7 linked regions of the Oryzias latipes genome follow. The protein of the gene in region 1 interacts with the protein of each later gene in a pairwise test. Links are inferred from orthologs where the notes say so. Each region holds a gene or a part of one and is shown in the gene's direction. Other genes may lie near its edges. The genes, in order: keap1, prkag1, lsm3, putative transcription factor p65 homolog, heat shock protein HSP 90-alpha, etf1 and nfe2l1.

Region 1 (3,972 bases):
TATTTTATGGGAATTCAAGAAAACTTCAGGGCTGTAACTACAATACTTCTTTCTGTCAATCATCACAAACGTTTCCATTTTTCTTGAGATATCTGCGGCTGAAATACAGTCGAAGTGGATGAATGTGACAGTTTTCTATTTTGTGCTGAACTTAATGTAGCGACAAATTTTTCATTACTGAAAAATATGTTTTTTTATAACACTTGTAATGTGAATTGTATTTTGTTACCTTCCTTTTCATTCAAATAATAAAATATTTTCTTAGGCGAACCATCACTCTTTTTGCATTTTGTTGTGTGTGATTTATGTGGTCTGAAAACACATCTGGAGGAGACATTGACTCACATGCATCCCGCTCTTATTGTCTCAGCAAAGCACAGTTTATCAGTGGGTTAACAAAAGACTTGGTTTCATTGCTCTGGTTTTGTTTGTCGTTTGATTCTTTAACAATATCGAAATTTTCCCAGATGCTGATTGCAGGTTTTTGCAATACTCCTGCAGACAGCAGTCAGGCTTTCTTTCCCACACTTGAACACGTGTGCAGAAATAATCTATAAGACGGTTGTTTTTATCTCTGCTGACAAATGAGCTTACTGACATGACTCAACAGAGGCTTGACCTTTGCAGCTGTAACTGTTGGCTTTTACTGCCACCTTGTGATTTCTTTTAAAAACAAGGCTGCTATGTAGGCTACTACCCTATTGACCCGGATTTCACAGTTTGCAGGAGTGAAAAAACTTGGTGTGTCAGCACAAGCCAAAATGTGTTTTGGTCCCATCTGAAGCAAGGCAGATTTTTTTTCTGATAAAAAATAATTGTTAGATAAGATGATTGCGAGAGAGCTGCATCATGTTTTCTTTTAATGTAGATTGGTTCAGAGATTTCTGAGTATGAGTGACATATGTATGTTCTTATTATAAGATTGAATTGTTCTTGTGTAGATGCAATGCTTATTTAAGAGGATAAACATATGAGTAAAGTATAACTGTAATGGTTGTAACAGTTTTGTTAAGCAATAAGTCACAATTTTAACTCAAAGTTAACCTTTTGGCCTGGTTTTCTTTTTTTGTTTTTTTTTAATTCTGAGACTCCTTTCCCAATAAAAGCCTACCACCCCCTGACGCAAACACGACTCATTGCTCGTCAATGGAGGCGGTCCCGACGTTCAGGAAGCATGCTTTTATTGTGAAGGCCAGTTGACTAGTACAATGCTTAGTCACGGTGAGTTACAGCCTCCCCTCCTCCTTCCTATGTGGCGCACAGCTCGGCAGAAAACGTTGGAAATAAGAGAGTACGTGAGTTGCCTTTACTTTACAGTTAAATTTTAAAATGTCCATCAGTACGGTTTTGTCAGTTCGGTTGAACGGAAAGTAGGTTTTTTGGGCGGTAAGACTGAGTACTTACTCTTTGTTAGCATGTTTGTAGCTATCAGTTCTCAGACGTTACTCCACTGTCTATTTTAGGGGCTTATTTTGCTGCTGCCGATAGCGTTACCTCCACCTCGGTGTTTTCTTCCAATCAATGAGACCGCGGAATTTTTTATCTTTTTAGACCTCAGTTTGGTCCACCTTCATCTGTGTTTTTGCTGTTGCATGCCAGCTCTGTGGCAGTTTCAGCCGAAAACAAGCTTGTAGTAAGTGTAGATGATGACCTTAGTCAGTGTGGAGTGAAAGCTAAACTTCGCGTTGTGTGAAAGTTCTTCTAGGAAAGGTGCACGGGATGGAAATCTAATTCCATCCCCGGGCTTACATAAGAACCAGCTCCACTTCTGGGTCGCGTTTTGGTACATTCAGTTCCACTCTTTCTGGCTTGGCGAATAGCTCGCAATGAGTCACCAACGAGGGAAGCTCTCCTCCTCCACCACGAATGCCAACAAAACACGTTGGACGCTCTTTGCTTGTCTTCGGCCTCGCCCCCTCCGCGTTGGCTGTTTCGCACAAAGTTTGGCGACGAATCTAGAAGTGAAAGTCTCTCCAAGTTGTTGTGGTCTCCACAGATTTTCTGCAGCTTTTTTTTAAAGTGACAGCTATTGATTGCAGGCCCGTTTTTTGGAGTTGCACCTTTTGTATGAAAGGTGCTTTATAAATAAAGTTGATTCAAATGGGGGTTCCCAAATTGAGGTGCAGGGGTTTATTGAACTTTTTTGTTACTAAAAATGACAATGCAACACAAACTCTCATTTTTTTGCAATATAAATATCTTGAGAAAAAAGTAAAATGACATAATAATGTTTATGTTATTGAAAATGTTACACTTTTTGAGCTCCTTGCTCATTTGGAAAAAGATTTGAACCAAAACAAAATGCTCTGAACACCAGCTAAATAAATAAGTTTACCCTCTCAGTTCAATACCAAAGAGATGAAATGCCACATTCACCAGACTGATACGCTAGCTGCTTGTTTGTGAGCGATAGCATGTTGAGCAATATGTTCTGGAATGTTCTGTTTTCCTTGTTAGTCACCAGGAGGAAGAAAAGTGCAGTTTCAAATCAGTGTCATAAAGTGTGTTTCGTGTTACTGTAAGTGTCACTGGCTGACTCCACAGCAGCCTTTAAACACATGACTTTTGATAACAAAATAGTCTTTTTCCTACTCTACGAACTGTAAAACACTTGTCTTTTTATCTCGTCCCTCAATACAACCTATGGTGTGTTGGTTATATAAGTAATCGTGTTAGGATTGTTGCTGACGGACTGACTCTTCCTATTCAGAGTTCACCAGTCAAATTGGCCACAGTCTGCTCTTTGTCTTTCATATCCCTGTTGCTTCATGTTCTGTAAAGGAGAAGTTGTGATGACAGTAAACTGGCCTGCATTCACTTTGTTGCACCCTCCACCCCTCTGTCATTTTAACATTATGCAATAGTCGAGTTGTTGTCCTCCCGTGGACCCGTGCCCATTCTGTCCTTGCTGACGTACTTTTGTCCAAACCAGCCTGGAGAGCAATCTCTGCCATGTTTCAGTCATGTTCTTGCCCCACCAAGCCTGAAAAATTCTCATGTTCATGTCTATCTTCATGACATGTAATAATTAAACAAAACAATGGGTTTGATTAACTGAAAATAATTAGTGTTTTCTATGTTCTTCTTACTATCAGCTGGATTGGTCACAGGATAAGAGTAAATACTTGTCAGCTGGATTTATGCCCAATTGAAGGTACTTTAGCAGTGTGTTTTTAAAGTCAAATATGTTGTTTTATTTTATATCTTTAATGTTAGTGTTTTTAGACTTTTGTTGTACACGTCTGTATAAAAAGTATATCTTTACAGTGGCATGTTAAAAGGTTCTTAACTGGGATCATGTGGTGACCACAGAATTTATCTGAGGCTTCCTAACACAAACCTTTTCTCTCCTTCTCCCCTCAGCTGTCGGCTAAATTCCCTGCCTGCTTGAAAGCAGCGGCACAACAAACGATATCCAGCTCTGGAAAATCTTAAGGAAGTTTTTTTTTTTCAAGTATAGACTTCAGTTCTTCCTTCTCCGTTTCAAAGAGCTCTCAGACCCACCAGTGACGCCTTTGGATCTCTTCTTGATTATCAAACAACAAGCAGTCAAACTGTTGGATTCCTACACATTTATCTCAACATTTGTTTTACTTTTAACGGTCATAGTTTAGCTTTGATCCATCTGATGAGTTGGTTCCTTTAGGGAATTTAACTGACCAACATAGATTTAATAAGAGACTTTCAGAGCATGATTTAATTGGCTACTGCCATATATTTCTTTTTATTCCTCCAACAAACAGGCATGTTTAACAGGCTTCTGTCAGTATCATGCAGGTGTGGAAAGACAGAGAGTTTTGTGACAAATGCAGTTGATCTAAAAGAAATCCCTTTGATTCCCGACTCTGTAGTTTAAACTTAATTACAGCAACATCAATCTTTAACTCCCATTCAGCATGCTGGAGGGCCAGTGTATAACGGCGTGCCCAGCTGGAACTGGCATCTCTCAAGCTATTTTCAATGTCATAACTC
Region 2 (3,968 bases), on another chromosome or scaffold:
TCCTCCTCTGTTTTGTGTTTTCTTTTAATCACTGTTGGGGTTGTGGTTTGTTTGTGTGTATTGCGGCCCTGAACAGGTACTCCTGATGAGGGTTTGGATTGGAGATCTCCCTTGGGGTTGTTGGTGGCTATCCACTGGTGCAGTGAGGCTGAGGAGTCCCTGGAGGCAGCCGCCCTCATGCAGTGTTGGAGCGCGGTCCAACTGTACGAGTATATTGTAACCTTCAATTTTATGGAACTTGTGTCAAGTTTTTAATCACATTGTATACTAACCACTACCAAATCCAGTCTCCATTTGGGGTGTAAATGTAAGGGCATTCGGTCACAAGTAACAAAAAAAAGAAAACAACCACTGCATGTTTTATTTTAAGATTGAGGACATAATTTATTCCAGAAATGTAAATGTGTTCTATAACCGGTCCTTGGGTCTTGGCGGGCCGCACAGAATAAATAACTGTCATCCGTTTGCTTTATTTCGGAATCTGAAAGATGTTTTATTTTGAAAAACTGCTCGATTCTGTTACACCGTCTATGTCACTTGGACGCAGGCCAAGGCGCTCTTCTCGGTCACGTGATGGGTTACCGCTAGAATAAAACCCAGGAGCTAACAAAAGGAGTAAAACAAACTCCTTTGGAAAGTTTATTTGCCAAGGGGAAAGGGGCCAGCCAGGAGGCAGAAGAGGAGCCTTCCACTTCCAAAAAAAAAGCTACATTTGATACAGTACTTCTCTTTTGCACCACGAGAGTGGGAAGGGGAGAGGATGAGACCTGTGCGGTGTACGACATGTCTGTCAAAATAAAAGCTTGGTGTTCGTAATGTTAATGTCTCCGTTCCTCCATAACTTGCCTACAAAAGTGGCCCGCCACATCTTAAAGACCGTGTAAGTTTTGAATGACGCCATACCGGTCCGCGGCGTTAAAAAGGTTGGGCTAGATTTGTTTGTGTACACTTCAGACACCGATTACAGCGACTTCGTTACTGCGCATGTCCAGCTCCTCTGGTCAGAGCGGAAATAGATTGGCGCGGCGTCCTGTCACCCCGGTCAAAAGGAGGCGAACGGGCAATGGAATATGGATTGTGTAAGTGATTGGCTCTGTTTATTTGGGCACATTTAAAAGCCTACTCACAATATGCTCCTAACTCATCATACAATCATTAAAGCCGACGTTGGAAACAGTGCTAGCGTTAGCTGCTAGCTACGAACTTATTTTTCACGTTTGTTTTCGATCTGTCGGTTGTGTGTTTAGAAATCTCCCTATCTGAGGATTCGGCCTCGGAAACGGTTTATTTACGGGTATTCAAACATGGATAAACGGGTTAAATTGTAGTAAGCATAATAAAGACATTCTTTAAAGTCTTTGAACCAATAATTAACTCGAGAGGGAAGGTAAATGACTGACACAGACAGACCGTTAGCTAACAAGCTAACACGTTAGTGTAGAGAAAACCAGTAACAAAGGCTCTTAAAGTACTTTCTGCATGTTTATAACCTGTAACCTCGTCTTAAAGTATATCTATTCATGAACATCTTCTCAGGAACTAGTTTGTTGTTTTGCGTGGCTTCTCCTGGTGGTTAAATGAACAACGTCGGACCAGTTTCGTCAACGGAAATTGTTTTTATTTTACAAACGGGTAAATTAACAAATGTAAGTATATATTTATTAAAAGAAACTTTGACATGGTGCAAAATACGCAGGTGTGTTTCAAATAATCATTAACATGTTCACTCCGGTTCTTTGGTTAATCCAGTTATTTGGTCAGCCATCCTAACCTATGATTTTGGTACAGTTGGTATATTTTAAACTGCTCTTTTTATTATTTTATGTAATTGTTTCCCCAGATTCCAGTAACTATTGATGATCTTGAGGGCAAGAAAGACCCCGTCATTGAAGGTAACAGACTTTTCTGTAGATCTTATGACTCTGACGTAGACTGACTGAGGTGTGTTTTCATTTTTGTTTTGATCAATTCTTCAGACTCCGAACACAATGCGTACACGAGGTTTATGAAGTCTCATCGCTGTTATGATCTTGTACCTACCAGCTCCAAGCTAGTTGTGTTTGACACATCACTTCAGGTAAGAGAAACCTTTTAATCCATCAGATGAACACTTGAACGTTGGTAACTGTCAATAATTGTGCAGGTGAAGAAGGCTTTCTTTGCTCTCGTGTCCAATGGGGTGAGAGCAGCACCTCTGTGGGACAGTAAGAAACAGTGCTTTGTCGGTAAGATTTGTTTTGTTTGTTGGATTTCAGTTCAGTGAATAAACATCTTTATAGCTCATGTTTTTTTTCCCCTACAGGAATGCTTACCATCACAGACTTTATCAACATTCTGCATCGCTACTACAAGTCACCATTGGTAAGATGGTTTAGTCCGCCAGTGGACGAAGCCTTCAAATGTCCAACTTCAGCTGCAAGACTTCTATGTTAGTTACAGTAGCTACTTTCTTTAATACTCTATTTACACTTTCAGGTTCAGATTTATGAACTAGAAGAACACAAGATTGAAACATGGAGAGGTAGGAATGGTTGGAACAAGTTTTGCTGCATAGTTATTCTTACGTTCACTGCAGTAAGATCTTTTATGTTTCCAATAGAACTGTACCTTCAAGACTCCTTCAAACCTCTGGTTAGCATTTCTCCCAATGCCAGGTGAGCAGCAGTAGCACTTTAAACCTTTGTGTTTTTTTTTTTTTTTTACTTTAAAGTCTTGATGAGTGGGCAAACAATGTCTTTTGTTTTTTTGCCTATATTATACTATCATCTTTTGATCTATTCTCAAAGCGTTCCCAGTGGTCTTTTAATTGTGACTATGCCATTTTTAGCCAAAGTCAACAAATCTTCTCTAGGACATAGTTTCTGTAGAGCGGCAGTAGTTCATTAGAAATTTGCCTATGATTTGTGGGTGGGACTGTTGGTGTGGAGCAACCCCGCCCCCCTTCCCCTCCTGGTCGCTGAGAGCTTGGAGCAGGGTGCTTGTGGCCGCCCGCCCAGGGTATTTTCAACGTCACACATACGATCTTTTCTATGCGTCGCTTTTTTTGTGTCTGCTCCTAATTCACAGCAAGTTGAATAAAGCAATACTCAGAATAGCAATTTTGAGCTTAAATTTGTCTTTATATGTGTCTTCAATCATGAGAAATGCCACAAGAACATGTTAAAAACATCAAAAACCCAATTTTCATTGGAGTGGGTCTTTAAGGTGGATCTACAGCTGAGGCGTTCTCATAGAAAATTGCTCATTTCTAAGCCTTTTCAGGGCCGGCATTGGGAATAGCACTGGTAATTGAATAGGTCATCTCCGGAACACTGATGGAATAGTTTGACATTATCTTACCCCAAAAGAGAAACTAGGAAATGGCTTGACATGTTTGTTCAGGGATTCCACTGTAATCTGCAAATGCCTGAAAGCAATAGGTTCTTGACTGGGCTCTGTACTGAACTATGTCAGAGTTTTTGAAAAGGTAATCTGGTAAATGGTAAATAGTGTATAATTGTATAGCGCCTTTCTTCCTACAAGGACAAAGCGCTTTACAGTCACAGACCCATTCATCCAGTCACACACACATTCACTCACACATTCACACACTGGTGGTGGATCTGTACCTTATTAACCCCCAAAAATGGAGCAATAATGACATGAAGCTATATTGGTGGCTGCTATTCCAAATTTCAGCTTACGGTGGGCTTGTTTTTCACACTTCAAAAGCTTTAGCTTTATACTTCTTTATGTTAGCATCTGTCATTTAAAAAAGTGCTGACCAAAAAGTCTACATAGAATCTCACAGGATTTTTTTCCATAGCTTGTATGATGCAGTGTCATCTCTACTGAGGAACAAGATTCACAGACTGCCAGTCATCGACCCCCTGACAGGGAACACCCTGTATATACTCACACACAAGAGGATTCTCAAGTTCTTGAAGCTGTTTGTGAGTTCCTCTGAGGTCGTCTTTACCCGAGTTTCA
Region 3 (4,261 bases), on another chromosome or scaffold:
CTTCTCACCAATTACCCATTTGCCCTGAGCTGCTGAGCAAGCAGAAAAACAGTGTTAGTCCACCTGAAATTCTCACTGATTCTCAGTGAAGAGCAGTATAAACAGGAAACAGTGTGAACTGAGCGTGGAGCCTGTTTGCGGTGCTGTCTGAGCTTGTTGCAGGATCTCTTCCATCACAAAGCCATGATGTAGCTGAGGGTGGAATGGGCAGTACCACTGCTCTGATCTGCCTCCCCTCCCACTGACAAATCCAGTATGAAGAACTGGATCGTCCTGAGAAGAGAGGAGGCGCACACCTGTAACCCTACAAACACAACGCGGAGAATAGCAGCCTCACAGGACCAGAGGCTGTGTATGACATCACAAACAGAACGTCTGCAACCCATTTAGTTACATTAACCAGTCTAAACTAGTGATGTTCAATAAATATAGTTTTTTCCCCAAAATAAAATAATGACGCAATAAATCACAACCGCTGCATCATTTTATCTTTACTTAAATAGCATTTTGCTTTTTATTTTCCAACACTTGGTTGGTATCCTGTATACAAGAAATTGTTATTTTTAATAAAAAAAATAATAATTGAAAAGCAATTTATTTCGTTTTTCTGCTTTTTAAGTCCACCTATTATAATTTTAGACTGTTATTAAAACGATTTCTTATCTTTAAATGCAAGACTTTGAAAAGAGTAATCAATGAACATAAAATAGCCTTTTTTGGTCTGTTAGTTTCAATTAATAAATCGATTAATTATTTAGTGTAATCATTAAAAATAAATATTTGAATAAACTGCAGATTACATTTTAGGAATATATTCTCTCTTAAAAGAATTTTAACGGTTTTCTCACTAACGGAAAGCTTCATTATGTGTAACTATTTACATTTCATTTCTCGTTTACATTAACATTTCGCATACGGAATATTTCTAAACAGACCCGTTAGACACTGAATTCCCAATAACAGCTTTACTACCACTCAAAACGCTCTGGAATATTAGTGTAGACAGGACAAATACCTCAAAATGAACAGATATTTATGAATTAATTTACCTTCTCGCTGCTCTGCGCGGATGACACGACAGTGTCCTGTGAGGACAGAAAGCTCTGGAAAACGCTAAAGGACGGTACTGGATAACGTTGCCAGGTTTGAACATACACGCAACGCGTCGAGAGAAAGGTGAATTTCTTTTCTTTATAGTTTAGTCTTTTCAGTTGTTTCAATTTAAAAGTGGCAGGGATGCAACAAGGAGATGTTTGTGTTGTATTTAAATTTTAGGTAAGGACTATGTATGGATTTACACATACTTTAAATTTAGTCTTTTAAGGATGGATGTTGATACCATAAGTTTTAATAATAAACATTTCACATTCTCAAAGTACGCATAGATATATATTGTAAACTAATTATTTGTATAAAATTCAACTTTGTTGAACTGGAAATCGAGGGATAATTCGAAACGCACGTGTGTGTTGCCGTTTGAAATCTTAATTTCACCGGACCTGGCAACCTGCGTACCGGAATCGACGCGCGCATGCTCGAACAGTATGGCGGACGAAGCTGAGCAGGTTAGCGGTTCTTTCGCTAATTATATGTTTAACCTTACAACGAACGAACAGAAGCCCACTTTGCTTCTAAAAGTGCAGACTGCGCTGCACGCTGCATTATTTTTAAAGTGCTTTAAGGTTATTACAGGAACGTTTTTGACCTGTTTGGGGCCGTGGAAGCGGCTAACCGAGTTAGCCGAATTATTAGCCTTGGTGTTCCTGTGTTTCAATTGAACGCAAATGTTTGGTTTGAAACACAGTTCATTGCTTTAGTGCTAACCAGGCAGCTAAATAGTTTATACAGGAAGGAAAGTTTGTGTAAAATGTGTGGGGAAAACAACAGCTGTAGCTCCAGCCGTCGAGGGCATGCATTCTGCTGTGTTCATTAAACGGCCTTCTTCTGATTCTGGTTACCTCAGGTGTGTTTTGCTAATCAACAGCAGGCAGACTAGGACACCTGCCCTCGAGGACTGAAACTTTACATTTGAGGTTTCTACTCTCTGAAACGCTTGGCGTTTCTGGCTGCCGGCCGCTCTGGGAGGGGGGGGGGCGCCTACCGCGGCCGGCTGGGGGGCCGGTCGCTCGGGGGAGCCTTCTCCCCCGGTTGTGCCCATCCGCCCGCTCCTCCCCGCTCTCACCCAAACAAATATTGCACACAGGCACATAGGGCCCCGGGATCTGGATGGGAGGGGTATGCTGGCGGGGCTCACTGGGGATGCCCCTCTCTGGGTTCTCGTTGGCACCCGCCCTCCTCCCCGCTTTTTACTTGCATATTAGACACTCTGATTCATCTAGGGCCTTGTGGAGAGGGTCTGGTGGAGGGGGGCACGGTGAAACATCCGTGCTCACCTTTCGCTGGCCCCCCCACAATTTTAACTTCCTCTGTAGACACACACACTGCATGCTAGCAGCACACACACAGCAAATACACACCACTCACAGAGGGACTCCGGAGTGGGGGGCTTTGCGGCTTGGCAGCGGTGGAGCCCCCCACACTGGTGACCTCCTATTTTACCTGCAGCACACACACAGCACTCCCACACCTCCATACATGGGTGGGGTCGGGGGGGGGGGGCGGCCGGTCTTCACCCGCCTGGTCCTCTCAGGGCGGCCAGGCTTATGGGTGTCCTGTCGGCTGCGGGAGGGGTCGGGCATGCGGCGCTGGGGGTTGGCCGGCTGGGGGGGGGGGGGGGGGGGGGGGGTTACTGCTTGGCGGCGGGGGTAGGGAGGGTAACCAGATGATTGTGAGTATGTGTGTGTGAGTGCATGGGTAGGACCGACCTGGGGGCTGGCTCGCTGGGACCCTCTGGGGCTTTCCCTCCCAATCACAGAGAGGGGAGGGCACTGAGAGGGTTGGGGAGGGGGGGTCAGATATTATGGCGGGGGGGGGGTTGTAGTGCGTCGGGTTTTAGGGGGGTGGCTGTGGCTGCGGGTGCGTGGCGATCCCTGGGTTGCTAGGGTCGCGTGCCTGGGCTGGCTTGCGGGGACGGGGCGCTGGTCGGGTGGTGGCCGGCTCATGGGTTCCGGGGCCCTGGCTTCGTCCCTGGCCTTTGTCTCGGTGTCCGGCGCCCGGTGGCCCCCATGGCTGCCGCCTGGTACGGCTAAGCGCTCCTGTCTTGTGGCCTGGGGGCCGGACACTGGGTTCGCTTGTGCCTCTGGGCATTGGGGGGGCCCCTGTAGGGGGGCCCTCTCTGTGCCTGGCTGGTGGGGTGGGCGGTCCCCTCCTCCTCCCCTCCCGGGCTGCCTGGGTCCGGATGCTGGGGGGGCTTCTGGCCTGGGGGGCTCTCCTCCCCTCTCCTGGTCTGGCTGGTCTGGCTGGGTAGGATCTGGCTCCCTTTATGAACACACGGTTCACGTCGGCAGCATGCATGTATCTCCACCCCCACGTGCACGTGCACACTGCCACACTGCTCCCTGTCTGCTTCATCCCTCCTCCTTACCTACAGTGTATTGATGGACAGTTTTTTTTCCGCTCATCTTAGTGTCAGATTTTGACCTTTGATGTAACATTCGTCTTTCCAGCAGATCTGGTATAATTGTTACAGCTTAAATTAATAACTTAGTCAAATCAGTGCTTGTATCCCCCACCTTTTCACCTTTCTTCCTTTTACTCTCTTCCACCCTCCCCTCACATTCTTCCCCTCTCCCTCCCCACACACACTAAATGTAACAAATAAATAAAAAATAATACGACAAAAAGGGGTTTATACAAATCTACACTCTAGTTTCTTGAAGCTATATAACCTCTTTTTGTGATAGTAAAACCTGTCCAACACAAAAAGCCTTCAGCTCTAATCTGTTTGCTCAGAAGTTGGACAGAACAAGTTAGAAAAAAAAAAAAAAAAAAAAAAGATTAGTAAGCAAACTGACTTTCATTCTAATCACAAGGTTTAGAATTTTTAGTCACCAAAATGTTTTTTTTTTGTCTTTTATTTTTATTTTTAATGCTATACTCTTAATTTAACAGTTCAAACACATTCACACAGGTTACCCAAACGCCAATACATGTAATCTGCCTTCACTTGTTTTGCTGAAACCCATGAGATTAGTAATGCTTTTATATTAAACATATATAAATGTCACAAAACAGTCGTTTTTGGTGTCTTAAATGTAGGTTGGATGTTTCAACATTTTATTTTGATTGCTGAATTAAAAACTGTGAATCACAAGTTGATTTCTGTGTTGTCAAATTGTGTTGAGATGGGAAAAAAAGTAGT
Region 4 (3,970 bases), on another chromosome or scaffold:
CAATTCTTTGGTGTTCTCCCATGTTCCCGTCTCCCTGCAGAGGACATCGAGGTGCGTTTCTTCCAGGACTCCTGGGAGGGGAAGGGCACCTTCTCCCAGGCGGACGTGCACAGGCAGGTGGCGATCGTCTTCCGCACGCCGCCCTACCGTGACACCAACCTTGTTGAGCCAGTTAAGGTGAAGATGCAGCTTCGGCGGCCGTCTGACCGTGAAGTGAGCGAGCCTGTGGACTTCCAGTACCTACCAGCTGACCCAGGTAAGATGCACACATCTCTACCTTCCTAGGACATGTCATGCATTCATCCTCATGTGAAATCTTTCACTCTTCCTAAAGATGAATACCGGCTGAATGAGAAGAGAAAGCGGACAGCAGATGTATTCCAGAACTTGAAGCTGGGGTCGATGCTGTCCAGTGGTACGCTCACTAGATACTGTTAGCTGTTCTTTGAAGGTTTTTGTTAAAGTGTTTATGACCAAAAAAACGGCATCTGTTGTTTCAGTTTCCATCCCATCAGACCGGCGGCAAATGAACTTTGCAAGGAGAACAGTCCCACCTAAACTTTCCTCTGTGAATGTGTCAACCGGTGAGTTTTGATCCTAAATATTTTGCATCTGATGTTGTTCCTTTAAGGTTTGAATGTTGTTATTTACGGAAAATCCACTGAAAACAAAATAACACGGGTCTGCAACCCTTTATTGGGACAATTTGGCTTTCAAGAAAATGCTAATCGCTTGAAGAAATTATAGGTTATTTAATGAAGTTTAGTCATGTAACCGAGCCTGTGATGGTTAAAGGTTTCATCTACTGTCAGAGTAGCTTATTATAAGAATGAGTGTAGAGCTCCTACTCTGATCTTCAGATGCAGTCATTCAGAACCAAAGAATTGCATCTATATGCATAGATTTTTACAGAAAATCCGGATTCTACGCCAATGTTGTCATGTTTATATTTAATAAACAGCTAAAGGACAAAAAAAGAGGAGATGTTTGACTTGTCGACTGTATCTGAGAAATGGACTGAGTGATGTCATTGATAGAAAATGGTTTATTTCAGCCTCCAACCAAATGAAGTCAGTTCAGTCGCCTTTTATTTAATATTTTTTTTGGATTGGTCCGAGTCGAGCTGAGCCAACGTTTCTATTGCAACTATTCTCACCAATCAGGAGTGAAATTGTTCGAAGGCCACACCCCTACGACTTATAAGCAGACTCAGTAGAATCTGTCAATCAAATGTTTCGAAATTTCAACAGGGCACCACCTACTTTAATTGAGGCATCTGATTGGTCCTTTTATAATTTGAATAACTACAGAAAAAAAATCATTTGAAAAAGATTAATACGTTTATAAAAATGTATCATATCAAGAATTATTGACCAATAGAATGACTGAGTAACAACTGCTTATTTTGGCTTCTTGGAACTAGCAGGTACTTCCTGTTTGGAACGCTGGGGGGGGGTCACTCAGTCCAGTTCTCATATACAGTCAATGGTTTTACTTGGGTTTCTTGTATTTTTTTTCAAGTAAATCTTCCGTAGCAGGAGGCTCTCATTTGACACAGGATGTTTTATTTTGAAAGGAACTTACGTACGTAATGCTGTCAAAAGTAAAATATCTTAAATTTGTTTCTACATAGAAAAACATAACACAGTTATAATTCAATTATAGTAAATATTTACGAGCTAGATTTTATGAATGAATGCCTCGATGGCCACAAAAACATGAATCACATTTTCTAAACATGTAGTGGAACTTTGCGGCTCTGGCTGAGTCTTGGTCTTAAAACACAAAAACTTGGACAATAACTGTTCCTTAACTTTAGTTACTGCAAATATTACTGAAGCTTCACTCTGATCATGTTTTTATCTATTTTCAAAGTGTTAACAGTAATCTTTTAATGACGTTTTTGGCCTAAATCTAAACATCTGCGGTCGTCTCCAGGACATAGTTTCTGCAGCGCGGCAGGAGTTTGTTAGAAATGATCCTCTGAGTTGTGGGCGGGGCTGTTGCCGCCTGCCTGTATGTAAGGATAGAGTGGAATTGCAGCTGTTGAACTGAAACTGTTTGTTTTTCAGGGACCGAGACGCCCCCTGGTGCCAGTGCAGCCAAACCACAGGCCCCTTTCCTCTTCACTCAGCCGATCCAGGCCCCTGCGCCGCACAAGAGGGAGCTCCCCGACGCAACTTCAAGCCAACCCTGGAGATTTATGGAGACTCTGAAGAAAGATTTACAGACCCCCTTCGCAGGGAGTTCTTCATCAGCCGCTCCCTCCTCCTCCACCACCATCAGCGCCTCCACGGCGAGCAACCAATACCCCACAGTCAACATAGCAGACCTTCAGGAGTTCTTCCCCAACATTTTGTCCCCCATGAATCAGGAGGCAGAAGCCACTCAAGCTAGTAGTGCGCCCCCTCAGGCCAGCAGCTCCTTCCCCCTCCAGGCCTCGCAGTTCTCCACAAACCCCGCAGAAGACGACCTCCCAGAGTTCCCCAGCTTCTCTGAGGGCCAGGTCCCCATCACCCTGGATAGCCTGAACATGGACGACTTTGAGGACCTTTTGAACGTGGGCGGGGGTGGCGCCGTTCCCATTGGAAGTTCGGGCCAGCAGCCCCACGCCACCGCACCTCCCCAGAATCCCACAGCGGGCCAGAACCCCTCGGACCCTGCTGGCAACCCAGGAAGCACCTGGATGAACTACCCCAACAGCATCGTCAACCTGCTGCAGAGCGAGGGCATGATGGACGCCGCCCCCCTCAACAACCACCACAGCGGCTACGCAGAACCCGACGACTACCAGCTGCTGTCCGCCGACGACGACCGCCTCATGTCCATTTACGAAAATGAAAATCACGCCGAGTTTGTGGCGGGACGCCAGACCTAAAGGACCCTTTCACCAAAGACTTCTGCTTTCTGCCTTCAGGACTGAAAAGATGCCAAGGGGAAACAGAAAGACCGCTCACTGTGGACAAAGAAACCCCCCAACCACAGATTCAGATCATGTCCTTATCATTACAGAACCATTATGTGGAAGACGACCCGCGCGTGTTCATCAGCTGATGATGGCGTCGCTTCGCTGACACGTGTTTGGCAGGTTTTTGTACTGTATCTGAACAAGTTTATCTGCTGTTTTTAGAGGAAGTTTGGGGTTTTGAATCCAAAAATGAACAGCCTGGTATGTTGGCATGTTAGCATTATACCCTTTTTTTTTTATCAAGTGTCCCTTTGGTTTGAAGTGTCATCCGAAGGTTTTGTCTGCGTGTGTAAAGAACCACATGAAGGTCTACATGTAAATATTTACAGGTTGAACATGTGCTTGCAGACCAGTCCGTGTTCCTGCTTCTGTTATCCTGGTGTTTCTACGGTTACTGTCCAAAGAACCGACTTTTCTGTTTTGCTTTTGGTCAGCAGCCCCCCCCTCCACACACAGACATTATGCCTAACCTTTTTTCACAATAAAATCGACAGAATGTAAAGGAATTCTTCAAAAGTGTTTTATTTGGCTGATCGTGGTTCAAACAGAACGAATTCTCTCAAACTATCAAAAACGTCTCAAAGTTCAGATTTCTGTCACCCTTCCAGCTCCGTAGGTTGTTCCAACCACAAGAAATGAGTGCAAATCAAATACTGCTGGAATTACAGATTGGTTTCTTTCCAAAAAAGCAAAATAAAGGAAGATCAAAACATCTGCAAATGCCGCTCCGTGGCCCGGTAAACAGGAGCAGAACTCTTAGGCGTCAGTCCCACCAAACGCGCTGCCCGTCCGGACTGGACTATGTCAGTTCCAGGTTGGTGACTTTGTTGAGGATGTGGGAACGCCGGGGGACGCACTCCAGGTCAAACCTGCTCTCATAAATGGTGGGGCTAAGTTCCCAGCGGTTCCTTCGGTAGATTCCCAGGTAGGTGTAAACGTCGGGTTTGTAGAACAGCGGGCACTTGATCCCCGTGGAGCGAATGACGGAGTCCAGCTTCATGA
Region 5 (4,210 bases), on another chromosome or scaffold:
CGGTCTTGAGGTCATCTACATGATCGAGCCCATCGACGAGTACTGTGTCCAGCAGCTGAAGGAGTATGATGGAAAGAATCTGGTTTCAGTCACCAAGGAAGGTCTGGAGCTGCCTGAGGATGATGAGGAGAAGAAGAAGCAGGAGGAACTCAAAACTAAGTTTGAGAACCTTTGCAAGATCATGAAAGATATACTGGACAAAAAGATTGAAAAGGTATGCTCTTGGAAAATGGGTTTACCTCATAAATTTTGATCAATCACCAGAATTTCATCATTAAAAACTTTGTTTCTCCTTCCACAGGTCACAGTTTCCAACCGCCTGGTCTCCTCCCCATGCTGCATCGTCACCAGCACCTATGGCTGGACGGCTAACATGGAGAGGATCATGAAATCCCAGGCCCTAAGGGACAACTCCACCATGGGATACATGACAGCCAAGAAGCATCTGGAGATCAACCCACTCCATCCAATCGTCGAGACACTACGGGAGAAGGCTGAAGTGGACAAGAATGATAAAGCAGTGAAGGATCTGGTTATCCTGCTGTTTGAGACCGCCCTGCTGTCTTCAGGATTCACCCTGGAGGACCCTCAAACACATGCTAACCGCATCTACAGGATGATCAAACTGGGTCTTGGTATGTTTTACTTCCTATATACCTGCAAACACAATTACAATTCCCACAGTTCAGATTGGTTGGTTGCTAAAGAATGCTGTCTGGTTTTTGTAGGAATTGATGATGACGACTCTGCAGTTGAAGACATCATTCAGCCGACTGATGAAGATATGCCAGTATTGGAGGGAGATGATGACACATCAAGAATGGAAGAAGTTGACTAAATGTTTTTTTCAGGCCTTTCAAAGGTTTTTTATTTTATTTTTGTAACATGTGTTGTATTGCCTGGACAAAACAAATACAGACATTAATTGACTTTTGCCAAAATGGAAACACTGTATATAGAAACATTTAAAAACTCAATTCGCTATATAAAAAGTTTCTCAGCTTTCACTTGTGTTTCTTTTGTAACTTTTACATTTTGTATGTAAAACTTTAAAATTTTTAATAAAATATAATGGTTAGAGCCTTTTGTCTTTTTTAACCTAATGCATGCTAAACTTTAAAATATTCAAAGCCAAAAATGTCAAATACCAATTCTGCAAATGTGAAGCACATTTTAATTAAGAAAGTTCGTAACTTGAAAAGGTTTTTCTTTCTAGTTCTGGAATTTTCAATGCACACAGCGTGGTTCTTTCTAGATCCCACTCCTACACGTGTTCCTCGCTTGGTATAGTCTCTCCACATTCTCCACCTACCAACACCAAATATGGTGAAATGGGCGGGGACCGGGCGTTGACAGACGTGTAGCTCAGCCTATCAGCGAGCACCACCAAGCCGCAGCCGGGAGGATTCCAGACGCTTCTGGAAGCCCCCGTCAGGGTTTTTTCTCGAAGCCTCTGAAAGAGTACAAATAGCGGAGAGACGAACGGCGGGACAGATTTTGAAGCAGTGGAGCGACGAAAGCGAGAAACAGCGATCAATAGCGGAGCATTCCACTCCCACGGAGGACCAAGGTAAATGATGCACTCACAATGAGCTGCAGGACTCGTCGTGATTAGAGACTAAAATAAGGTTCTTAAATCTGTTAACTTTGCACACTTCGTTGATTATTAGGGTGAATTACTTTTTAAGCATTTAGCCACAAACTATTTACTCAAATGTTTAATTTTTCTCTAAGGGTTAATAAAGGAACCACTTTTTTTGTCCAGTCGAGTGGTAATGATGAGATGCTGCTGCCCTGCATGTGTCAGCAGTATAACATTATGCGCTTACGGGTTATTTAATTGTTGTTGTTATAGTTTTAAGCCGTTGTTTTAGCCGGGCGAGCTGGTCCCGGTATTTTATTTTATTTTTTTGTGCGGACATCTCATTCATACGAACTCTGAAAACGGTTGATGAGAGCAGCGACTTTCTGCTCCTCGTGAAGCTGCGCGTGCTCTGCTCTCCTCCTGGTACCTTCTAGAAACTCGCCTTACGCTGGGTAACCAGCAGAGGGCGACACTGCTGCGCAAATGGAAGAGATGGAGAAAAAGGCCATTGGAGACTTGTTCAAAAGATTTTTCAAATTTAATTAAATATTTAAAATGTAAACAATTTTTTTTATATTTTTGAGATTTTTAGTTTCGGACTTGGTGAACTGAAAACCAATTTTAAAGGAGGATTATAAAAGGGGATTGTATATCTGAATTTTAAGGATTAGAATTATTATTTTTTTTTTCAAAATAATAGACTCTACTTTACCAGATTACTCATTTTTTGTGTCCCTCATTCTATTAAACCCACTATCTTGACTATAAAGCTGTTTGTGTTTGGAACAATAACTAAAGGTTAATTTTTAGTTAACTTAAGCTAAAGGATATATTTTCTTGTTACTCAGATGCCTGAGATGCATGACCAACCAATGGAGGAGGAGACTGAGACCTTCGCATTCCAGGCTGAGATCGCTCAGCTTATGTCCTTGATCATCAACACCTTCTATTCCAACAAGGAGATCTTCCTCAGAGAGCTTATCTCTAACTCCTCAGATGTAAGTTTACACAAGCCTAAGATTTTTTTCTATATTTCATCTGCACTGAATCTAATGCTAATTTATTAAATTCACTGATTATTCTTGGACAGTTTCTTCTTAGGCAGTGCTCATTGGGCTTTGTCTCTTTTTGATTGAATTTTTTTTTTTTTTTTTATCTGCTTTTTATTTTTATGAATTTAAATTCCATTTAAATCCCATAGAATTGCATTTTGGCTGCAGTTGTACTAAATGAAAAGTGAGCAGGTCGTCTAAAAGGAAGTTCATGGATCCGTTGTTCCGACAGGCTTTGGACAAAATCCGTTACGAGAGCCTGACTGACCCCGCCAAGCTCGACTCGGGAAAGGAACTCAAAATCGAAATCACGCCAAACAAACAGGAGCGGACGCTGACCTTGATGGACACGGGAATCGGAATGACCAAAGCGGACCTGATCAACAACCTGGGAACCATCGCCAAATCTGGAACTAAAGCATTTATGGAGGCTTTACAAGCCGGAGCCGACATCTCCATGATCGGGCAGTTCGGCGTGGGCTTCTACTCTGCATATTTGGTGGCTGAGAAGGTGACGGTCATCACCAAACACAACGACGACGAGCAGTACGCTTGGGAATCCTCTGCTGGAGGCTCCTTCACAGTGAAACTGGACAATTGTAAGTAATGTGAGGCTTTTGAATGTCAGCTTCTGGTGTTTGTGGTTCTCGTGTGCTGACTGACTCTTGGTTTCAATGTCTAGCTGAGCCTTTGGGCCGAGGAACCAAAGTGATCCTCCACCTGAAAGAAGATCAGTCAGAATACCTGGAGGAGAGGAGGATCAAGGAGATTGTGAAGAAACACTCTCAGTTTATCGGCTACCCCATCACACTCTTTGTACGTATCAGAACCCTGTATTTTACTTCGAGGGGATGTATTCTGATCCGAGTGAGCTGAAACTGTTCCTTCTGTGGTTGCAGGTGGAGAAGGAGCGGGACAAGGAGGTGAGTGACGACGAGGCTGAGGAAGAGGAGAAGGAGAAAGACAAGGAGAAGAACGAGGAAGAGAAGGATGAGGACAAACCTGAGATTGAGGATGTGGGGTCAGATGAAGAGGATGACCATGACAAGTCCTCAGACAAAAAGAAAAAAAAGAAGAAGATCAAGGAGAAGTACATCGACCAGGAGGAGCTGAACAAAACGAAACCACTGTGGACCCGCAACCCAGACGACATCACCAACGAGGAGTACGGGGAGTTCTACAAGAGTCTCACCAACGACTGGGAGGATCACCTGGCTGTCAAGGTTGGTGATTCAGATGGAAGTTGAGGGGAAATCTGGTCTCAAGGGAAACATTTTCTGAACCCCCCCTTTCCTTCCTCTGTAGCATTTTTCAGTGGAAGGGCAGCTGGAGTTCCGTGCCCTCCTCTTCGTGCCCCGCCGTGCCCCCTTTGACCTGTTTGAGAACAAAAAGAAGAAGAACAACATCAAGCTTTACGTGCGTAGAGTCTTCATCATGGACAACTGTGATGAGCTCATCCCTGAGTATCTCAGTAAGTGTCCGGACCTGCTGGATTCTATTCTAATCTGAGGTGAGCGGGGAGCAAAATGACTAAACTGAATTCTACTTTTCATTTGTCAGATTTCATCAGGGG
Region 6 (3,931 bases), on another chromosome or scaffold:
AGAGATAAAAGTGAAGGAGGCAAATAAAAACGTGGCACGTTTTCTGATGTGTTAAAAGACAGGGAAAGGAAGGAAATTATTACTTATAACAAAACCTTGGCGAACAAGACAGTGCAAGCCCAGCAGGAAAGATTATTCGGACTGATGTTGAGCGACAGATAAAAGCTGTGATTAAATGTTGAATCTTTTCGAATAGATCAAAAGGTGATTGGAGAAGGGCTTTAAAGGGTTAACCCATCCATGCACGGGGAGATTTGTTTACAGCAGATAAGCAAATTTTCTCTGGCTAACTTGAAGTATCTTTCCTAAGGACTATTCACATACTTAAATATCGAGTTTCTCGGAAAATTTTTAAGCATGATGTGCACAAAGTTTAACTTTGTAGTGCTGTTGGAATGGTTTGGCCCAACTGGTGTGCTATAGGCTTTAATGTCCCTCTCTAATCATCTTTTAATCTGCTGTAAAAGTGTTCCCAGTGTTTTTTTTTTTCTTCCCATCACCTATTTTTTTGTGCATCTCAAGCTTACATGATCTATCCAGCCATACAGTTTGAGCCACATGCCAGCTCAGATGCATAAAACTAAGATGTACATGGATCTAGTTGTGTGCAAAAGGATGCATCAGAATAAAGAGGAGCAGGGAACTTGTGGTCTGCCAGTTGTAGTTTCTAGGTCATTGCTACAAGCTTTTTTCAACAGCATTTTTTTCTGCCCTTCATTCGTAATTTGAAGAAATACTCAGAAATGTATTTTTGTATATATGTCCTCCATCATGAGAAAAATGCCACAAGGACATGTTAAAAATAACAAAAACATAATTTTCATCAGAGTGGGAACTTTTTAATAGTGCAATGTTCGAAAGCAAACCAAACAATGGTGAAAATAATTATTATTCTCCATCCTTTCACACCAAACCCCTGTAACTGCCCTAGCTGTTGTTGCTAGCATTTTTCCAAAACTTCAAATCCCATGATGCACAGTTACAAACGACCACCCAGCTCAAGTGACGGCCTTGGATTTCATCCAATCGGTTTGATCTAATTTTGAGTGACAGATCATCCGAGGCATATGATTGGTTTCTATGCAGTTTCTAGGAAGTGAACGCCACGATTCTAATCACCTCCCACATGTGATCTCCAGACTGTAGCACCACGCGCAGCGTGTGAGGGAGAGAAACCGGTCGGGAAAGCAACGTCATTCCTCTTGACTATCGACTCGACATAAAGCAGCCGATAGAGAACGGAGTGGAGCGGTGTTGTCCGTGGCAGGTAAAGTAACGGTTCCGATTTTCCCGACAAAAATCGCGTCAGGAAATCTATGTTGGATTTTAATGTAATGTTAAGAAAGTAGGTCGTATTAGATAAGAACGGGGTGTGCGCTGGGGCCTAGTAGACAGCAGGCCTGGTGCTATCCACGTTCTGTGCAAATAGGCAGACTACAGCTCTTCCCTTACAGCTTGTCCAGCTGCCCAGCTCTGGTCAGGTGTAGCAGCGGACACGGCGCCAGGGGTTTGAAGAGGTACAGACTCCAGATAGTTCAAAAAGAAGCGCCATATTAACCGCGGCTGTGTCCATCGACACATTTCCTCCTTCGTCTAATTCCCTTTACTTCTTTTTACATCTTTTCAGGTGCTGAAGCGATTACAGCAGAAAGATGGCGGACGACCCCAGCGCGGCGGACAGGAACGTGGAGATATGGAAAATCAAGAAACTGATCAAAAGTTTAGAAGCTGCCCGCGGGTAATTTGCCGATCTGTGTTACTTGCTAATGCGACACTTAGTTGAAAAACAAGCTGAGTTTATAAATCCATTTGGTGGATTAACAGAGCCATCACTCAACAGCTGGAGATCTGATAAGTGGGGCCGAATTTGGGAGTGGTTAGCATGGCTAACTTAGCTTATCGTAGCTATTGGTGCTATTTTTGTTAGCCGAATGTGGCGCGCCAAGTGTCATTATTTAGCATGGTTTGTTGTTATAAATGTTGTGTTGAGGTACAGTTTTGTCGTGTTCTGTGTGTGTCATGTTTCTGTGAGTGACACCGCAGAGATTTTCCCCTCCCTGGCTCCACCGAGGCTCAAAGTTAGGGGCATTGTTGCTAGCTTTGTTGCTAATGTACCCGCTAACACGACTCAGACGTCATTTCACGACAGAGGCCGCCATGGGTGTCTTTAACAAAAAACGCGAGGCCGGTCAGCTAGTTTCAGTCGGGCGTTCGGTTACTGTGTATACCGCCTTTTCCTAATGTAAATGGGGTTTTTTTTCTCCCCCATGACGCTCACATGATAGAGCTGATATGACACTTTTTGGTTCACTGTTGCCGGTCACCTCATGGCAACCGAACAGCTTAGTTAGTAATGTCTAAGATGGACGTGATCAAAACCGACCGCTCCAGAGTGCTACTTTAGTTTACACCCGTGTCCTTTGGGGATCTGGATTTATCAAATGTACTGCTTGGTGCTACTTGATCGTTGCTTGATCCTGCTGGGCAGAATTGGCTGTCCTGTTCTCAGATGCCTGCCATGTCACACATTGTAGCTAGTATTTGCCCTACAGACACAGACCTCGCTACCTGCCCCTGTGTTAGTAGGTGGTGTCAGAGTTTCCTGTTGTGTTGTCCTTTTAACTTAGTCCTTGATTTCAAGGACAGTGATTATGTAGAGTGTAACAGAGAGACAGTAGTGGCTTTAAAAAAAAAAAAAAAAGCTTGGAAAGATGTACTATTTAGCCGAGTACCTTACAGAAAAAACCCATCTGGAATAGTTTATTACAGATATACAACATTTAAACTCTTCCTCTTCACAGTAATGGCACCAGTATGATCTCACTGATCATCCCACCTAAGGACCAGATTTCCAGAGTGGCCAAGATGTTAGCTGATGAGTTTGGCACAGCGTCCAACATCAAGAGTCGAGTTAACCGGCTTTCTGTGCTTGGGGCCATCACTTCTGTACAGCAAAGACTAAAACTCTACAACAAAGGTAGGTTTACACGTGTTGAATCACGCACTGCAAATATGATCACATTTAATGAAGTTGACACCTTTTTTTTTTTTTTTTTTTTAAATCAATTTCATTCTGTGCAAAAGAAATTGAGTTCCTCTGTCTTATCCAGCGGTTTCTTTTTCTCTCTGTTGCCAGTGCCACCCAACGGTTTAGTTGTGTACTGTGGCACAATTGTGACAGAAGAAGGCAAGGAGAAAAAAGTCAATATAGACTTTGAACCTTTTAAGCCAATCAACACCTCTCTTTACCTCTGTGACAACAAGTTCCACACCGAGGTGAGGGTTTCCTTTGTATCTTTACTTAGCTGTTGGTTGTTGTTGTGTTTTTGTTTGTAGCTTAAATTCATTTTTTATCCGTTTCTGCTCAACAGGCGTTGACGGCCCTTCTTTCGGATGACAGCAAGTTTGGCTTTATTGTGATTGATGGTAGTGGAGCATTGTTTGGCACACTGCAAGGCAACACCCGGGAGGTGCTGCACAAGTTCACTGTGGACCTACCCAAAAAGCACGGTAAAGAAAACTCTGTTCTGGCGAAAACCGCTCTTTAAGTGTCGATGCGAGTCAATAACAGGATTGTGCTTCTCTCCTTTCTTTCAGGCAGAGGAGGACAGTCCGCGCTGCGTTTTGCTCGTCTACGAATGGAGAAAAGACATAACTACGTGAGGAAAGTGGCTGAGACCGCTGTCCAGCTCTTTGTGTCCAATGACAAAGTAAACGTGGCAGGAATGGTCCTTGCTGGATCTGCTGACTTCAAAACCGAACTTAGCCAGTCGGACATGTTTGACCCAGTAAGTTTATCAATATTCAAGAACAATACACTACTTGCAAAGTATTTATGTATGAAAAGGACAACAAATAAGCGAGAATGTATAAAAAATGAAAAAATTATTTAGTTTGTACTTCTTTCCAAGGAAATGTTTTGAAACGTGTA
Region 7 (4,153 bases), on another chromosome or scaffold:
TGTTTTTGATGAACTTTGTCGCTTTCATTTTGAACACTTGACCAATAAATTATCATTTTATCTTTTTGTTTCTGTTTAGGTATGTTGAACGTGTGTCAGATATGCTGAGACAGAAGCTGAAGCAGGCAGACATTCTGGTGCTTAAAGCTTCCACAATGGTTGAGAAGAGGCAGGAAGCCTTAGAGGAGCAGTCCAGACTTGAACCCCGTGTCGACCTGCTGGCACTACGCACCCGGGAACTCCAGAAACTGGTATTGTGTTACTTTTTGGAGTTGGTACTTTCCAGATGAGAGGGTTGCATTAAAGCATCAACACTGAGACTCTTAATCTCTATCCACTTTCTCTTTTTATTTTTTAAGTGTGATGCACTTTTAGCATCCCAAAGACTCATCAATTATAATAAGTATTTTTTGTCAATTATTGTGTCTGTTTTTTGTCTTTGCAGATTGAAGCTGACATTTCAAAGAGATACCACAACAGACCTGTCAACCTGATGGGGGTTAATGTATAATTAATATTGCAAATGTTTCAAAAATATTTCTCATAATTGAAAGGACAAATAAAAAATGTTTTGTAATTATCCTTCTTGTTGATTTGTGAGTGAATGATTAATGTAAAACAGTTTCTTACCTTAGCAAAAAAGTAGTACATTTAAAGATTGTTTTATTAAGTATACCTGAGTGAAAGTATAAGCAAGTCTACTATTGACCATTACATCTAGTGTAGGAAGGATACTAACAATGCTTCTTCGGACTAAATTTGACATTCAAATTTACCATATATAGATAGTATATAAAAAATAAACTTTGAGCATACTGCCTGACTTAGTATAAATTAAGTATACTTGTAGTACTCTTTAATAGACTGCTTTTTGCTACGCACTGACAAATTACTTACATTGTCTAACAGAAATACAACTTGTTTCACATTTAAGCATTATTTTTAGCAGGCATTTGTGAAAGTATATGATGGTGTTATTTTAAAGCTGTTATTTAAGGCATTGCCTACTTTATTTTTATTTGACATACTGTATTTTAACCATAGAAAGTAAAATAAGATATACATATATACATACATACATATATGTAAGTTTGAAGAAAAAAACATTTCAGCCTCTTTTTATATTCCTTATATATTTTTTTCGCTGGAAGGAAGGACACATTTCAAATATTATTAAAATGTGTATTTTTGCTATCAGTGCTTTCATGATTGCTATAAAGTGGAAATTCAGTCGGACATTATAAAACGGCGACTTTGCTTGTCCTGACAGCTGTTATTATTACCAGTGGGGGGATTTTCCGTCGGCTGATAAAACCTTACACTAGAAAGTTCTACGCATGCTCTGTGGGCGCGCGTGTTTTGGTGTCAAGCAGCGCTGCTAAGTTAGCCTGGCCAGCTAGCAATTTTGCAAGTCATGGTAGGCCATTCAGTAAGGGAAGGTTGGAGTGGTATAACGGGCTCAGTGGGGAACCTTTGATAAAGCTGGACTTATTTACCAGTCTTAATTGAGATTGAACCTTCTGGTATGAAAACCCAGTTAAATATTCTCGATGGGTAAGTTGTACTCTATTAAGATTTTTTAGCACTATTTAGTAGCTCCGATAAATTGCTGGTATATGGGGAATGCTAACGTGGAAACACATGATTAAAACATCATTCTATGGTTGTTTATTTTTTGCGTTTTAAAATTACTATTTTAAAGTATTTTTCGATACACTGAGTTGACAGCAATTTAGCCTGCAAAAGCTAGCACAGTTTACTGTTGGACTTCCAATGAAGCATTTTCTTTAAGGAACGCCCACTCTCCGTTCCTATTGGCCAGGTGGGACTGGAGTCATATTTCGTAGTTAATAACTCGGCCCGTGATTGGCTGTCCACTTTGTCACTCATCTTTTCACCACTTGTTGCTAAGGAGATTGTGTGATTGCCGCTTTAACGGAAGTAAAATAGTAAATATTAGCAGATGCACCTGTCACTTTGGGGGGTTAAACTTAGAAGTGGGCTAACTATATCACCCGGCGACACATCTTATCGAAGATGCGTTATACCTTGGTTATAGATGTATACTAGCTATAGCTGGTCCGAAAAGATAAGGTTGCTAACACAGCCATCGTCATAAGGACAAAGGTAGGCGCAGCTGTGCGGGAGGAGGGAGGAACCCAGCCCGTCACCCAACGTCGGTTCGTGCGTGAGCTAGTCCGGTGAGCGTTCTTGACTCCCATTCACCTTCAGCGGGATCCGATAGAAGTAGTTGCTCGGTCAAGGGTGGGGTTATGCCTAAACTCCCGGCTCCATCACTGTCTGCTTGAATATCCGAGAATAGAAAAGGTCAGGCGATGCGAACTAACATCACTTTTCCAGTCTTGGGAGGATAAAGTGGTTGCATTTGGCTAGCAAGTCCTGTACAATGTTCTCAACACATATGGGTACGTACGACGAGTGTTTTAAGTCCGAAAGCAATGTAATGGCTAGTATGTGCAAGCTGGTGTGATATGCAGTAGTAGTGCATTAAAATACGATTTTCCACTTTTTACAGGACTAAAAGATGAAAGTCTTTTGAAGAACAATCCAAAGAGGCATGATTCTAAGAAGTGGAAACCTCAACTTGGATTTTAACACCTTTTAGGCACAAATAACCTTTTGGTTGTTTTTTTTTTTAAACACCTCGCCCCCCACTTCTTTCCACTTCTATGTTCATGTATCTGTTTTCCTCTCCTAGTATTAGCACAGAGTCATTAAGCAAGCAGAATTGGTCCTTTTTTTGTTGTTATTTTTTTACTTTTATTTTTTGTTCCTTTGAAAAGAAATGCTTTACCTGAAAAAGTACTTCACAGAGGGCCTGATTCAGTTCACCATCCTTTTGAGTCTCATTGGGGTGAGGGTGGACGTTGACACTTATTTAAGCAATCAGTTGCCCCCACTAAGGGAGATCATCCTGGGGCCTAGCTCAGCTTACACGCAGACACAGTTTCACAACCTGCGCAACACGCTGGATGGCTATGGGATCCATCCAAAGAGTGTGGACCTCGACCATTTTTTCACAACTCGACGGCTGCTAAACCAGGTGCGCCAGCTGGACCGCCTCTCTGTCCCCAGCACAGAACTCAACACCTGGCTAGTGCATCGAGAGACCGAGACAGTGGTGTCCACCAGCAGCCAGTCCAGCCCCAGCATAACCCTGGACAATGGGGCCAGCCTAGAGGACATTAACAACATCGACTCGACCCCGGCCATGAGAGGAGGAGCTGCAGCCCCTGAATCCTCATACAACTTGAATGCAGCGGACAGCAGCCTGGGAGCCGTGGCCCCAGAGGGTAATCAGGAGCAGAGCAGCGCGGATGGCAATGATGACCTTACCAAAGAGGTAGCACCGTGGATGCAAAAACATGTTCATGGGTATATCTATTGCTGGAGAAAAAAACATGCTAAGAAATTTTTGAAATTTCTACACAGCAACATAAAGTAATTTCAAACCTGATCCCTCAACAAGCCAGGCAGACATAGTTATAGATAACAATTTAAAATGCTTATCTACACAATGCTTTGATATGTGGTATTCAAAGATTTTACCTATTCAAAAGATGTTAAAACTGGATTATTTACAAATATTTTTGGTCGTCAATCCAGTGTTTTAACCAACCCAGTTGAGTTGGTTAAATTCGTTTTTATTGGTCAACTTTTAACTGAAAAATAAGCACTATACTCCCTAAATTTTAACAACAAATTTGCATTAAAGAAAAAAAGGAGATAAGTTTCTATATACAGATCAACTTTTAGATGTGATATTTGTGTTAATGAGGGGAACCTGTCTGATGGACTTACAATGGCTAAATTGATGCAGCAGAATCTTTCCCTATCACATGATTATCACTGCCAAAGTTGCATCATCTGATTTGTGTTACATGGTCTGACTCCTCCTAGTGCAATGAAAGAAAAGTTGTGATAAACAGCCTAAAGCTCTAATTTAAAGTTTTCATGCTGTCATAAAAAGGAAAATGTTTTCAGGCATCAATTTTATGGTTTTACGGTTTACTCCGTTATATTATCTGTGCAGAATCTATGAGTTGAACTAACAGTTTGTGTAAAAGGCCATATAATAATGGCAACCTCATGTTTTCCAGGACATTGACTTAATTGACATCTTATGGCGGCA

The links.
Region 2: the proteins of keap1 (region 1) and prkag1 interact in binary tests that used the Homo sapiens proteins (3 or more experiments, as listed by UniProt). The two-hybrid records come from large-scale screens. The link is inferred for Oryzias latipes from reciprocal best matches to the Homo sapiens genes KEAP1 and PRKAG1.
Region 3: the proteins of keap1 (region 1) and lsm3 interact in binary tests that used the Homo sapiens proteins (3 or more experiments, as listed by UniProt). The two-hybrid records come from large-scale screens. The link is inferred for Oryzias latipes from reciprocal best matches to the Homo sapiens genes KEAP1 and LSM3.
Region 4: the proteins of keap1 (region 1) and putative transcription factor p65 homolog interact in binary tests that used the Homo sapiens proteins (3 or more experiments, as listed by UniProt). The link is inferred for Oryzias latipes from reciprocal best matches to the Homo sapiens genes KEAP1 and RELA.
Region 5: the proteins of keap1 (region 1) and heat shock protein HSP 90-alpha interact in a two-hybrid assay, tested with the Homo sapiens proteins (2 studies listed by BioGRID). The link is inferred for Oryzias latipes from reciprocal best matches to the Homo sapiens genes KEAP1 and HSP90AA1.
Region 6: the proteins of keap1 (region 1) and etf1 interact in binary tests that used the Homo sapiens proteins (3 or more experiments, as listed by UniProt). The two-hybrid records come from large-scale screens. The link is inferred for Oryzias latipes from reciprocal best matches to the Homo sapiens genes KEAP1 and ETF1.
Region 7: the proteins of keap1 (region 1) and nfe2l1 interact in binary tests that used the Homo sapiens proteins (3 or more experiments, as listed by UniProt). The link is inferred for Oryzias latipes from reciprocal best matches to the Homo sapiens genes KEAP1 and NFE2L1.

Annotation. Positions count from the first base shown.
Region 1 is NC_019859.2:10,401,000-10,404,971, forward strand, and holds the start of keap1 (kelch-like ECH-associated protein 1), read left to right. Parts: upstream 1-1,172; 5' UTR 1,173-1,291; exon of another isoform or gene 1,292-1,295; intron 1,296-1,368; exon of another isoform or gene 1,369-1,386; intron 1,387-3,095; exon of another isoform or gene 3,096-3,154; intron 3,155-3,363; 5' UTR 3,364-3,972. UniProt on the Homo sapiens protein: Substrate-specific adapter of a BCR (BTB-CUL3-RBX1) E3 ubiquitin ligase complex that regulates the response to oxidative stress by targeting NFE2L2/NRF2 for ubiquitination.
Region 2 is NC_019863.2:4,033,369-4,037,336, forward strand, and holds the start of prkag1 (5'-AMP-activated protein kinase subunit gamma-1), read left to right. Parts: upstream 1-1,168; 5' UTR 1,169-1,577; coding exon 1,578-1,646; intron 1,647-1,840; coding exon 1,841-1,892; intron 1,893-1,976; coding exon 1,977-2,077; intron 2,078-2,143; coding exon 2,144-2,225; intron 2,226-2,302; coding exon 2,303-2,361; intron 2,362-2,475; coding exon 2,476-2,521; intron 2,522-2,599; coding exon 2,600-2,654; intron 2,655-3,805; coding exon 3,806-3,932; intron 3,933-3,968. UniProt on the Homo sapiens protein: AMP/ATP-binding subunit of AMP-activated protein kinase (AMPK), an energy sensor protein kinase that plays a key role in regulating cellular energy metabolism.
Region 3 is NC_019863.2:18,333,459-18,337,719, forward strand, and holds the start of lsm3 (U6 snRNA-associated Sm-like protein LSm3), read left to right. Parts: upstream 1-1,461; 5' UTR 1,462-1,544; coding exon 1,545-1,565; intron 1,566-4,261. UniProt on the Homo sapiens protein: Plays a role in pre-mRNA splicing as component of the U4/U6-U5 tri-snRNP complex that is involved in spliceosome assembly, and as component of the precatalytic spliceosome (spliceosome B complex).
Region 4 is NC_019876.2:27,225,088-27,229,057, forward strand, and holds the end of putative transcription factor p65 homolog, read left to right. Parts: intron 1-40; coding exon 41-256; intron 257-334; coding exon 335-415; intron 416-500; coding exon 501-584; intron 585-2,072; coding exon 2,073-2,878; 3' UTR 2,879-3,470; downstream 3,471-3,970. Other genes in the region: UPF0696 protein C11orf68 homolog, read right to left, coding at 3,768-3,771; UPF0696 protein C11orf68 homolog, read right to left, coding at 3,768-3,970. UniProt on the Homo sapiens protein: NF-kappa-B is a pleiotropic transcription factor present in almost all cell types and is the endpoint of a series of signal transduction events that are initiated by a vast array of stimuli related to many biological processes such as inflammation, immunity, differentiation, cell growth, tumorigenesis and apoptosis.
Region 5 is NC_019882.2:17,294,550-17,298,759, forward strand, and holds the start of heat shock protein HSP 90-alpha, read left to right. Parts: upstream 1-1,410; 5' UTR 1,411-1,570; intron 1,571-2,433; coding exon 2,434-2,583; intron 2,584-2,869; coding exon 2,870-3,236; intron 3,237-3,319; coding exon 3,320-3,453; intron 3,454-3,536; coding exon 3,537-3,860; intron 3,861-3,942; coding exon 3,943-4,108; intron 4,109-4,197; coding exon 4,198-4,210. Other genes in the region: heat shock protein HSP 90-alpha 1, read left to right, coding at 1-214, 302-635, 729-838. UniProt on the Homo sapiens protein: Molecular chaperone that promotes the maturation, structural maintenance and proper regulation of specific target proteins involved for instance in cell cycle control and signal transduction.
Region 6 is NC_019868.2:15,426,116-15,430,046, reverse strand, and holds the start of etf1 (eukaryotic peptide chain release factor subunit 1), read left to right. Parts: upstream 1-1,131; 5' UTR 1,132-1,267; intron 1,268-1,454; exon of another isoform or gene 1,455-1,517; intron 1,518-1,627; 5' UTR 1,628-1,652; coding exon 1,653-1,738; intron 1,739-2,801; coding exon 2,802-2,977; intron 2,978-3,136; coding exon 3,137-3,276; intron 3,277-3,371; coding exon 3,372-3,510; intron 3,511-3,597; coding exon 3,598-3,788; intron 3,789-3,931. UniProt on the Homo sapiens protein: Component of the eRF1-eRF3-GTP ternary complex, a ternary complex that mediates translation termination in response to the termination codons. The eRF1-eRF3-GTP complex binds to a stop codon in the ribosomal A-site.
Region 7 is NC_019877.2:19,058,808-19,062,960, forward strand, and holds the start of nfe2l1 (endoplasmic reticulum membrane sensor NFE2L1), read left to right. Parts: upstream 1-1,353; 5' UTR 1,354-1,554; intron 1,555-1,681; exon of another isoform or gene 1,682-2,426; intron 2,427-2,536; 5' UTR 2,537-2,806; coding exon 2,807-3,364; intron 3,365-4,121; coding exon 4,122-4,153. Other genes in the region: cdk5rap3 (CDK5 regulatory subunit-associated protein 3), read left to right, coding at 80-251, 446-511.